Linked DNA regions of Macaca mulatta. The protein of the gene in region 2 interacts with the protein of the main gene of each other region in a biochemical or structural test. Links are inferred from orthologs where the notes say so. Each region holds a gene or a part of one and is shown on either strand. Other genes may lie near its edges.

Region 1 (2,599 bases), on a different chromosome or scaffold from region 2:
AAGCCAGACTTTGACCAGAGAAGGTTTTCCAAGAGAAAGGCCATCTAAGCCAAGCTAAGACCTGAACGGTGAATTAGCCAAGCGAAGAGAGGGAAGGGAACACATTCCAGGCAGGTGGAACAGCATATGCTAACTAAGGCCCAGAGAAGAAATGTGAAAATGGATACACTGCTGGGAGCAGGGTTACAGGTTGGGCCCAGAGGTTATGTGTGGGGTAATGATGAGAGATGGGTTTGGAAGGCCAGTGAAGGTCAGATGATGAGGGGCCTTGTAGGACTGGCTAAGACACTTGGTTGTAAAATAACACTTTGGCTATAGAGTGAAAAATGGATTGGGCTGGAGTGAGAGGGTATCGTAGGGGATAAGACTAAAGAAAGAGATCATTTGGGAGTGCATATCCTAAATAAAACAGAGCACAGAGGCAAAAAGCATGACACAGGGCCTTCCCAGCCCACCCACAGGTAGCAGTGGGACATGTGCAGGGAGGTCATTAGAGGCTCACGCAAGAGGAACAGGAGGCCTGGGGAGTTTTGAAATAAACAGAGGGCACGATGGAGCAAGCAGAGCAGAGCGGAGAGAAGACTGTGGGAGGGCGCCAAGGTGGGAAACAGAGGGGCCGGGCATGGGCTGCGTGGAAGATGAGTCTGAGCTGAGAGGAAGTCAAGGTTAGATAAGGAGGGCTCAAGGGTCAGCACGCCCACAAGTGGGGAACTGTCTGTTGGAAACTGCTGTAGATGCTCAGCAGAGTGGAGATCATCAAAACGTCCACAGGGACCAGAAGGTGGCCTGCAACAGGCTTACAGTGAGGCTGGTAAGAAATGTAAACTCCTCCCGTGCCAGTTATAACCTGCCTCCAGCAGGGTCCCCAAGGGGACTGGAATCCGAAGTACTCTACCTGCCCCCATCTCCAGAGTCCTATCCCCAAAATACAGCACCTGCAGGTCCCATTTCTTTCTCCATGGTTTGGGGCCTGGCTCTTAGATTCCCTTGTCTCCCATGACCTCCCTGTCCCCTCCCTGGCTATCTTCAGTGCAGGGATTGGCCGGACAGGCTGCTTCATCGCCACGCGAATTGGCTGTCAACAGCTGAAGGCCCGAGGGGAAGTGGACATTCTGGGCATTGTGTGCCAACTGCGGCTAGACAGGTGGGTCTGTGGGTGTAAACAAGGCCAACAACGTTAATGGGGGGCATCAGTGCCTCTGGGCCCCAGAGCCCTGATAGGCCCATCACCATCAAGCACTCCTGCAAGAAAGGAAGAAACCCTTTCTGCTTAGAGCTGTTTATTTTGCAACTAACAACCAGCAAAAAATATCTATCTGGATGGCCGGGCGCGGTGGCTCACACCTGTAATCCCAGCACATTGGCAGGCTGAGGTGGGTGGATCACCTGAGGTCACGAGTTCGAGACCAGCCTCGCCAACATGGTGAAACCCTGTCTCTACTAAAAATACAAAAATTAGCTGGACCTGGTGCGGGCCCTTGTAATCCCAGCTACTCAGGAGGCTAAGGCAGGACAGTTGCTTGAACCCAGGAGGTGGAAGTTGCAGTGAGCCAAGATTGTGCCATTGCACTCCAGCCTGGGTGACACAGCAAGACTCTGTCTCAAAAAAAAAAAAAAAAAAAAAAAAAAGAATATCTATCTGGAAAGTTGGCTTGGAGCCCTGGAATTAAACATGATATGAGGCAACAAGTAGTGCAAAGAAGCTCACTGGGTTGAGGCAGAGCCAGTGTTCAGATTCCAACTTTTGTCTCACTGAGATGTCACTAGATTTCTCTGAGCTCCCATTTCTTTTTTTTTCCTTTCTTTCTTCTTTTTGTAATAATAGAGATGGGGTCTCACTATGTTGCCCAGACTAGTCTCGATCTCCTGGGCTCAACAATGCCCCCTTGGCTTCACAAAGTACTGGGATTACAGGCTTAAGTCACTGTGCCCAGCCCCCACTTCTTTATCTAGAGAGAGATAATGGCTCCTTCCCCCAGAAAACTGTTGTAAGAAATGAGTTAACTTATATGAAAGTGTTTTGGAAATGGAAACTATTATACAAATGTATGGAATCATTATTTTTACTTTTAAGATTATTAGAAAGAAGGAAACTTGAGGCTCAGGAGTATTCCTGGCCCGACTCAAGGCTTCAGAGGTCTGGTTTTGTCCCAGGAGCTGAGTGAATCAAGGAAGACCAAGCGTCAACACGGGGCATCACCCCTCAGCACGTGTAAGGGGCAGAGGACTCCTCTCACAGTAAATCTGAGGGTCAGCAAGGAGGAGTAGCAAGTAGAAAAGATGAATATAGGTGGCGGGGCATGGTGGCTCATATCTGTAATCCTAGCACTTTGGAAGGCCAAGATGGGCCAATCACTTGAGGTCGGGAGTTCAAGACCACCCTGGGCAACATGGTGAAACCCTGTTTCTACTAAAAATACAAAAATTAGCTGGGCATGGTGGCAGGCACCTACAGTCCTAGCTACTCAGGAGATTGAGGCAGGAGAACCACTTGAACCCAGGAGGCAGAGGCTGCAGTGAGCCAAGATCATACCACAACTCTCCAGCCTGGGTATCAGAGTGAGACTGTCTCATAAAAAAAAAGAAAAAAAGAAAAAGA
Region 2 (3,753 bases):
TCTGTCACCCAGGCGGAGTGCAGTGGTGCAATCTTGGCTCACTGCAACCTCCACCTCCTGGGTACCAAGCAATTCTCCTGCCTCAGCCTCCTGAAGAGCTGGGATTACAGGCGCCCACCACCATGCCCAGCTAAGTTTTGTATTTTTAGTAGTGACAGGGCTTCACCATGTTGGTCAGGCTGGTCTCCAACTCTGTCCTCAAGTGATCCGCCCTCCTCAGCCTCCAGAAGTGCTGAGATTACAGGCGTGAGCCATAGTGCCCAGTCCCCCAATTTTTTTTTTTAATTAGCAGGGCGTGGTGGAGCGCACGCATAGTCCCAGCTCTTTGGGAGGCTGAGGTAGGAGGATCACTTGACCCCAAGGAGGTTGAGAATGCAGTCAGTAAATATTGCACCACTGCACTGCAGCCTGGACGACAGAGTGAGACCCTGTCTCTAAAATAAAATAAAAACAGTCTAGGATTCTGAGAGGCATGGAATTAAAAAGAGCCTCTGTCAGAAGACATCATTTTGAGTCTCAGCTCTGTCATTACTAGTGACCTTACTCAAGTTAGTTAGCCCAACTCTCAGATTCCCCATCTGTAAAATTTGATTCATTTATTAGAACAGTTTTTTTAACCTAGGGTGATCTCGGGCCCAGGTTCTGGTGGGCTGCCGCACACATTGGCTGGGTGGCTCTGGTAGGTCACGCCCTGGCCGCTTCGCCTTCGAGAGGAGGGTGAGGACAGTCTCCGAGGCGGCGCTGCCGAGCCTCCCCGTGACTTGGTGACCGCGGAGCCAGCAGAGACCCCCGGGCTCCCGCACCTAGGGCGAGAAGGGCGGGCGCGCGCCCGGGGTGGGTCACGTGACGGCTCCAGGCCCGCGCGGGGCCGGGGGCGCGCGGGGCCGGGGCAGGGGCGGGGCCTGGAGCGCGCGGCCCTGCGGGTGACAGGCGGGCGGGAAGGGGCGGGGCCTCGGGCGGGGCCGCCGGGGGGAGGAGGGCGGCGGGAGGGGAGGAGTGGAGATGGCGGCGGCGGCGGCTCAGGGGGGCGGGGGTGGGGAGCCCCGGAGAGCCGAGGGGGTCGGCCCGGGGGTCCCGGGGGAGGTGGAGATGGTGAAGGGGCAGCCGTTCGACGTGGGCCCGCGCTACACGCAGCTGCAGTACATCGGCGAGGGCGCGTACGGCATGGTCAGGTGAGGGGGCGTTCCGGGGGAGGGGGCGCCCTCAGGGGAGGGGGCTTCACAGGAGAGGAGGGGGAGGCGCCGAGCGCTTTCCGGGACGTGGAGACGCGGAGCGTCCCGAGGAGGCAGGGGACTCGGGATGATCGGGAGCGTCCCAGGGAGGGGACCCCTGAGTGCTTTCTAGGGGAGAGGGCGCTGCCTGCGTCCTCAGGGGAGGGGGCTTGGAGGCTTTGAGTCCACCCTTCTGTAATGATGGGAGGGGCATCTGAGTGCATGTGGGGGCCCGCGGGGACCCTAGTGACACGGGGCGAGGCCCAGAGGATGAGTACTCTCGGGGAGGCGACATCCTTAGTGAAGAGGCAGTGGAGGGCCCGTTTTGGGGGAAAGGGTGTTTTGGATTCCCCCTGTGAGGCAGTGCCAGGGAGCCTGGGGTAGACGAGCCGAGATCAGGGTGGGGCAGGGCTTTGGCCCCACCACCACCACCACCAGGTGCCCAAAGAGAGATGAGGGGGCCAGGAGTGCCACTTGCATGTTTTGGGAGGGGTCTGTGAGTGCCCCCGGCCCCACCGTGAGCTCTGGGACAGCCCTGCTGCCCGCTTCCCTCACCCTAGGACCCGCCCCTGCCCTGTCCATTCTCTCCTGCCCCTCCCCTGGCTGCCGTTTTCCCAGTATTTGCTCCATGGTGTGCCCCCAGCATCTGCACCCCCGGACCTGTCTTGGGTTAAGGAACCTTTCCTGGGAATGGGGGCGAAGGGTTCAGGGCCAGTAGAATGGAAGGGGATTGAGGAGAGGGGAAGTCAGTGAGCGGTCAGTCTCTTCCTCTGTTTGTAAAGTCACCGAAGGGCCGCCTGGCTGGTCCCCAGCTTTCTCTCTGGAGATCCCAGCCCTACACAGCAGGAAGGAACCAGCATTGTTTATGATTTGACCAGAGCCAGCTCCTGCTCTCTCCCCTCCCTGCCAAGGCCTGGGTGGGGCCACCAGGCCCGGACTCCCCCTTTGTAAGGCCACAGCAGCAGCCTCTCTCCGGTCCCCTCAGCTCGGCCTATGACCACGTGCGCAAGACTCGCGTGGCCATCAAGAAGATCAGCCCCTTCGAGCATCAGACCTACTGCCAGCGCACGCTCCGGGAGATCCAGATCCTGCTGCGCTTCCGCCATGAGAATGTCATCGGCATCCGAGACATTCTGCGTGCGTCCACCCTGGAAGCCATGAGGGATGTGTATCCTTCACCTTGCCCAGTCGGCTGGTCATACACAGCCTCGGAGCTGGGCTGGGGACCCGTTGCTTGCTTTCTGTTTCCATCTTACCCACCACCCTCCAAAACAAACCCAGTAAAATAAACTTTCCTGCAGAGGAGAAGCCACAGTGTAACAGGACTTAGAGGCCTCTGATGAACCCAGGCCTGCTGCAGCCGGGCAATATGGCCTTGAGCAAGTCAGTTCTCTGCTCTGTGCCCCAAGGGGGAGGGCTAGACAGGATGGTCTCTATGGGAGTGTTGTCTTCTGACATCGGCAGTTCTGAGACATGACCCAGCTTCTGCCCACAGTCACTTCTTGCTAACAAATGGATGGTTCTTTCCTCTCTTTCCTCCTTCCCCAGACTGGAAGGGAGACAGGGAGAAAGCAAACTGTCAGCTGGGCATGGTGGCTTATGCCTGTAATCCCAGCACTTTGGGAGGCTGAGGTGGGCAGATTACCTGAGGCCAGGAGTTGGAGACCAGCCTGGCCAACATGGTTAAACCCTATCTCTACTAAAAGTACAAAAAAATTAGCAGGGCGTGGTGGCGCATGCCTGTAATCCCAGCTACTTGGGAGGCAGAGGCAAGAGAATCGCTTGAACCCAGGAGGCGGAGGTTGCAGTGAGCCAAGATCGTGCCACTGCCCTCCAGCCTGGGTAACAGCGTGAGACTCTGTCTCAAAACAAAACAAAAACAAAAAAACTGCCTTTCTTGAGGTCCTACTGCGTGTCAGGTACTATACATGCCCAATGCTTTTTTTTTTTTTTTCTATTACACCTCCCAACTACCCTATGAGATAGGCTTTGCAGCTTCATTTCAAAGATGAGGGCAGAGTGCAATGGCTTACGTCTGTAGTTCCAACACTTTAGAGGCCAAGACCAGAGGATCAGTGGAGGCTGGGAGTTCAAGACCAGCCTGGGCAGCATAGTGAGACCCCATCTCTACAAAAAATTTAAAAATTATCCAGCTTTGGTGGTGCATGACTGTAGTCCCAGCTACTTGGGATGCTGAGGCAGGAGGATGGCTTGAGCACAGGAGTTCAAGGCTGCAATGAGCTATGATTGTGCTACTGCACTCCAGCCTGGGGGACAGAACGCGACCCTGTCTCAAAAAAAAAAAAAAAAAAATGAAGAAGCTGAGGCCCAGAAAACCTAAAATCAAGTGTTTCTGTTGCTGTCTCCTCCTCCCCTCCCCCAGATGGAAACTTGTCCTTCTTAGGACTTCTCACTCAGAGCCACACCCTAATCACCTGTGGACTTGCACCTTGCCCAGGGAGGGACAGCCTAGCCTTTGTTGTCCTCCCCTGATACTGCTTTCCTAGTTTGCTGTCCACTTCCTGTCTGGCTCTCCTTAGCA
Region 3 (3,653 bases), on a different chromosome or scaffold from region 2:
CCTAAAATGAATCCAGTCTTCAATTGCTCAATTATTCACTAGACTTCTCAACATCAGTATGTCCAAGATCAAACTCCCCTTCCCTGCCTCCTTCAAATTCACCCTATTCTAGGATGCGCTTTGGCCTCAGGGCATCACCATTCTTTCTCTCCAAGCCTAGTCATCTTTGACTTTTTGCTTTTCTCCCTCTTCAGCTCCAGTCCTCCAGATTCACACTGGTGATGTGTCTAAATCTTCCCCCTCCTTTCTACTGCCTGTATCTTGCCTAAGTGCAGACATTAATTATTTTTTATTTTTTCTAGAACAATTATAATGCCTTTTTACTGTCCCCCCCACTCATCACTTCCCTCCACCCCTCTCATCCTACTACTTATAATTAAATGTAAAAATATATTTTAAGGACTTAGCACAGGGCCAGGTTTATAATACTCAATACATGAATACTACTTTTAACTCTGGCTTCAGATTTAAAAGTACCCTTGTAAAAGAATGTTTCTTATCTTTGTCATTTTCCTCCACTTTTTAATTTTCTTTTCTTTTCTTTTCAGTGCAGGAATAGGTAGAACGGGGTGTTTTATTGCTACATCCATTGGCTGTCGACAGTTGAAAGAAGAAGGAGTTGTGGATGCACTAAGCATTGTCTGTCAGCTTCGTATGGATAGGTGAGTGTCACAGAGGCTTGCCTTCAGAGCACTGTTGTCATTCACAGCCTGATCTCATCAGCCTGATTTCACACATAAACATCCCAGGCTCCAAGGTCCTGTATCTCTGTAGAGATACTTGTAAAATGCTTAAGTATATGCATTATATTAAAAAGCCTTTTTTTCTCTCTTTTTTGAGACAAGGTCTTGATCTGTCACCCAGGCCGGAGTGCAGTGGTGCAATCTCAGCTCCCTGCAGCCTCAAATTCCTGGGCTCAAGCAATCCTTGCACCTCAGCCCCCACATGTAGCTAGGTCTACAGGTGTGTGCCACGCCTGGCTAATTTTTTTAGTTTTTTGTGGAGATGGGGTCTTGTTATATTAGGTTGTTCTTGAACTCTTGACTGCAAGCGACTCTCCCACTTGGGCTTCCCAAAGTGCTGAGATTACAGGCGTGAGCCACCATGCCTGGCCTGAAGTTATTTATTTATTTATTATTTTTCTGAGACAGGGTCTCACTTTGTCACCCAAGCTGTAGTGCAGTGGTGTGATTATGGCTCACTACAGCCTAGAATTCCTGGGCTCATGTGGTCCTCCTACCTCATCCCCCTAAGTAGGTGGGACTATAGGCGAGCGCCACCACACATGGCTAATTTTTTTTATAGAGACAAGGTCTCACTGTGTTGCCCAGGTTGGTCTAGAATGGCTGGGCTCAAGGGATCCTCCTTCCCTGGCCTCCCAAAGTGCTGGGATTATAGTTGAGAGCCACTGCATCTGGCCCCCAAAGTTATTTTTTAATGTTTTTATTAAATTGTGACAAAATACACATGGCAAAATTTATCATCCTAACCATTTGTAAGTGGACAATTTATTAGGGTTAAGTACATTCACATTGTTGTACAACCAATCTCTGGAGTTCTTTTCATGCTGAAAAACTCAGTACCCATTTAAAAAACTCCCCATTCCTCCCTCAGCCCAACTGGTAACTGCCATTCTATTTTCTGTCTCTGTAAGTTTAAACGCTCTAGGCACCTTTTATGTAAGTGGAGTCATACAGTATTTCTCTGTTTGTGGCTGGCTTATTTCACTTAGCATAATATTCTCAAGGTTCATCTATGTTGTAGCATGTGTCAGAATTTCCTTCCTTTTTAAGGCTGAGTAATATTCCATTTTAGGTCACATATTTTGTTTATCCATTCATCCATTGATGAACGCTTGAGTTGCGTCCATATTTTGACTATTGTGAATATGGCTGCTATGAACATGGGTATGCAAATATCTGTTCAAGACCCCGTTTTCAGTTCTTTTGAGTATACACCCAAAAAGTGGGATTGGCGGCTCATATGGAATTCTATTTTTAGTTTTTTGAGGAAACCATCATAGTGTTTTCTGCAGTGGCTGCACCATTTTACATTCCCACCAACAACACACGAGGGTTCCAGTTTCTCCACATCTTCACTGACACTTTATTTTCTGCTTTGCTTTTTTGGATAGTAGCCATCCTTATGAGGGTGAGACGGAAGAGTCATTTTATAGAGATACGGTTTGATCACCTTTGTTATAACCTCTGTTCGTTTTGAAAACAAGATAAACAGGAAACTTCTCTTCTTCCTTGATCCACAACTAAGCCTGCCTGGGTAAATGGACGGTTGAGTTAGTGGTGGAGAAACTGAACAGATGCTGCTTCAGAGAAGGCACAAAACGATAAGCAGCAAGCATCTCTGCTCAGTAATTCAGTGTACTACAGTGGAACAAGAGTTGTTGGCTAGGTGTGGTGGCTCTCGCCTGTAATGCCAGCACTTTGGCAGGCCGAAGCAGGAGGATCCCTTGAGTTCAGGAGTTTGCGACCAGCCTGAGCAACAAAGTGAGACCCTGTCTCTAAAAACAAACAACAAACAGCAAATGTTTACTCATCACCTCATATGCCTTAGGCATTGGTCTAGATGCTGCGAATACAGCATTAAACAAGGATTTTCTGCTCTCTGAGAATTTATATGCTAGCAGAAAAAGATAATAAACAAGCAAAATGTACCAAGATAATTTCAGACAGAAATAAATGCTGTGAAGTAATAAAACAAAGAGGGACACAGGCATTGAGTCCTTTGAGCTTTAGCCCTATGACCTAGAGTTTTCTTAAAAAGATAAAATTATACACTAACCTTTCTTTTTTTCCTGGAGACAGCCTCGCTGTGTTGCCCAAGCTGCAGTGCAGTGGCGTGATCATGGCCCACTGTAGCCTCGACTTCCTGGGACTACAAGCATGTGCCACACTGGGCTGATTTTTGTATTTTTTGTAGAGACGGGGTTTTGCCATGTTGCCCAGGCCAGTCTTGAACTCCTGGACTCATACAATCCTCACATCTTGGCCTCCCAAAATGCTGGGATTGTAGGTATAAGCCACTATGCCAGGCCATATAATTACCTTTCAAGATTTCTTTTCCAACAAATATGCTTTGAGCACTATGTACTATGTCCTGGGATTTCAATAAAAAAGACAAGATTATTCTGAAAAATGAGATAATTTATATAAAGCACTTGGAATAGGGTCTGGCACATAGGAAGCCCTCAATAAATGTTTATTATGTTATTATCATCTTTATTATTATTTAAATTATCTGTGAAGTTTCTCTTATCTCTAAAAAAAAAAAAATTCAAATTTCCCTGTCTGGATTAATTTTTCCCTTCCCATCCATAATGTTCTTGCCTCCTTTTAAACAGTAGCCTCTAAGTCTTTGTATCTTCCCTCTTTGTTTTCTACTACGTTTGGTATCTTCCCTCTTTGTTTTCTACTACGTTTGTTTGTTTCTTTCTTATTTTCCCTTTCTGTTAGCATGTAAATTCTCGAAGCAGTTCATCATGGCGGTTAACATTCTGGGCTCTGGAAAAAGATTGCCTGCCTGAGTTTACATCCCGGCTTCTACCATTTTTTGGTTGTACGACCTTGAGCAAGTTACTGTTCTTCTCCCTGCCTCCATGAGTTTTCTCATTTGGAAAATTGGAGTAATAGTAGTAT

The links.
Region 1: the proteins of MAPK3 (region 2) and PTPN7 form a complex in vitro, tested with the Homo sapiens proteins (3 studies listed by BioGRID, with this or other methods). The link is inferred for Macaca mulatta from reciprocal best matches to the Homo sapiens genes MAPK3 and PTPN7.
Region 3: the proteins of MAPK3 (region 2) and PTPRR form a complex in vitro, tested with the Homo sapiens proteins (2 studies listed by BioGRID). The link is inferred for Macaca mulatta from reciprocal best matches to the Homo sapiens genes MAPK3 and PTPRR.

What each region holds. Positions count from the first base shown.
Region 1 is NC_133406.1:59,817,474-59,820,072, reverse strand, and holds part of PTPN7 (tyrosine-protein phosphatase non-receptor type 7), read left to right. Parts: intron 1-981; coding exon 982-1,144; intron 1,145-2,599. UniProt on the Homo sapiens protein: Protein phosphatase that acts preferentially on tyrosine-phosphorylated MAPK1. Plays a role in the regulation of T and B-lymphocyte development and signal transduction.
Region 2 is NC_133425.1:28,437,373-28,441,125, forward strand, and holds the start of MAPK3 (mitogen-activated protein kinase 3), read left to right. Parts: upstream 1-933; 5' UTR 934-1,002; coding exon 1,003-1,172; intron 1,173-2,196; coding exon 2,197-2,379; intron 2,380-3,753.
Region 3 is NC_133416.1:77,740,010-77,743,662, reverse strand, and holds the end of PTPRR (receptor-type tyrosine-protein phosphatase R), read left to right. Parts: intron 1-548; coding exon 549-662; intron 663-2,822; coding exon 2,823-2,919; 3' UTR 2,920-3,044; downstream 3,045-3,653. UniProt on the Homo sapiens protein: Sequesters mitogen-activated protein kinases (MAPKs) such as MAPK1, MAPK3 and MAPK14 in the cytoplasm in an inactive form.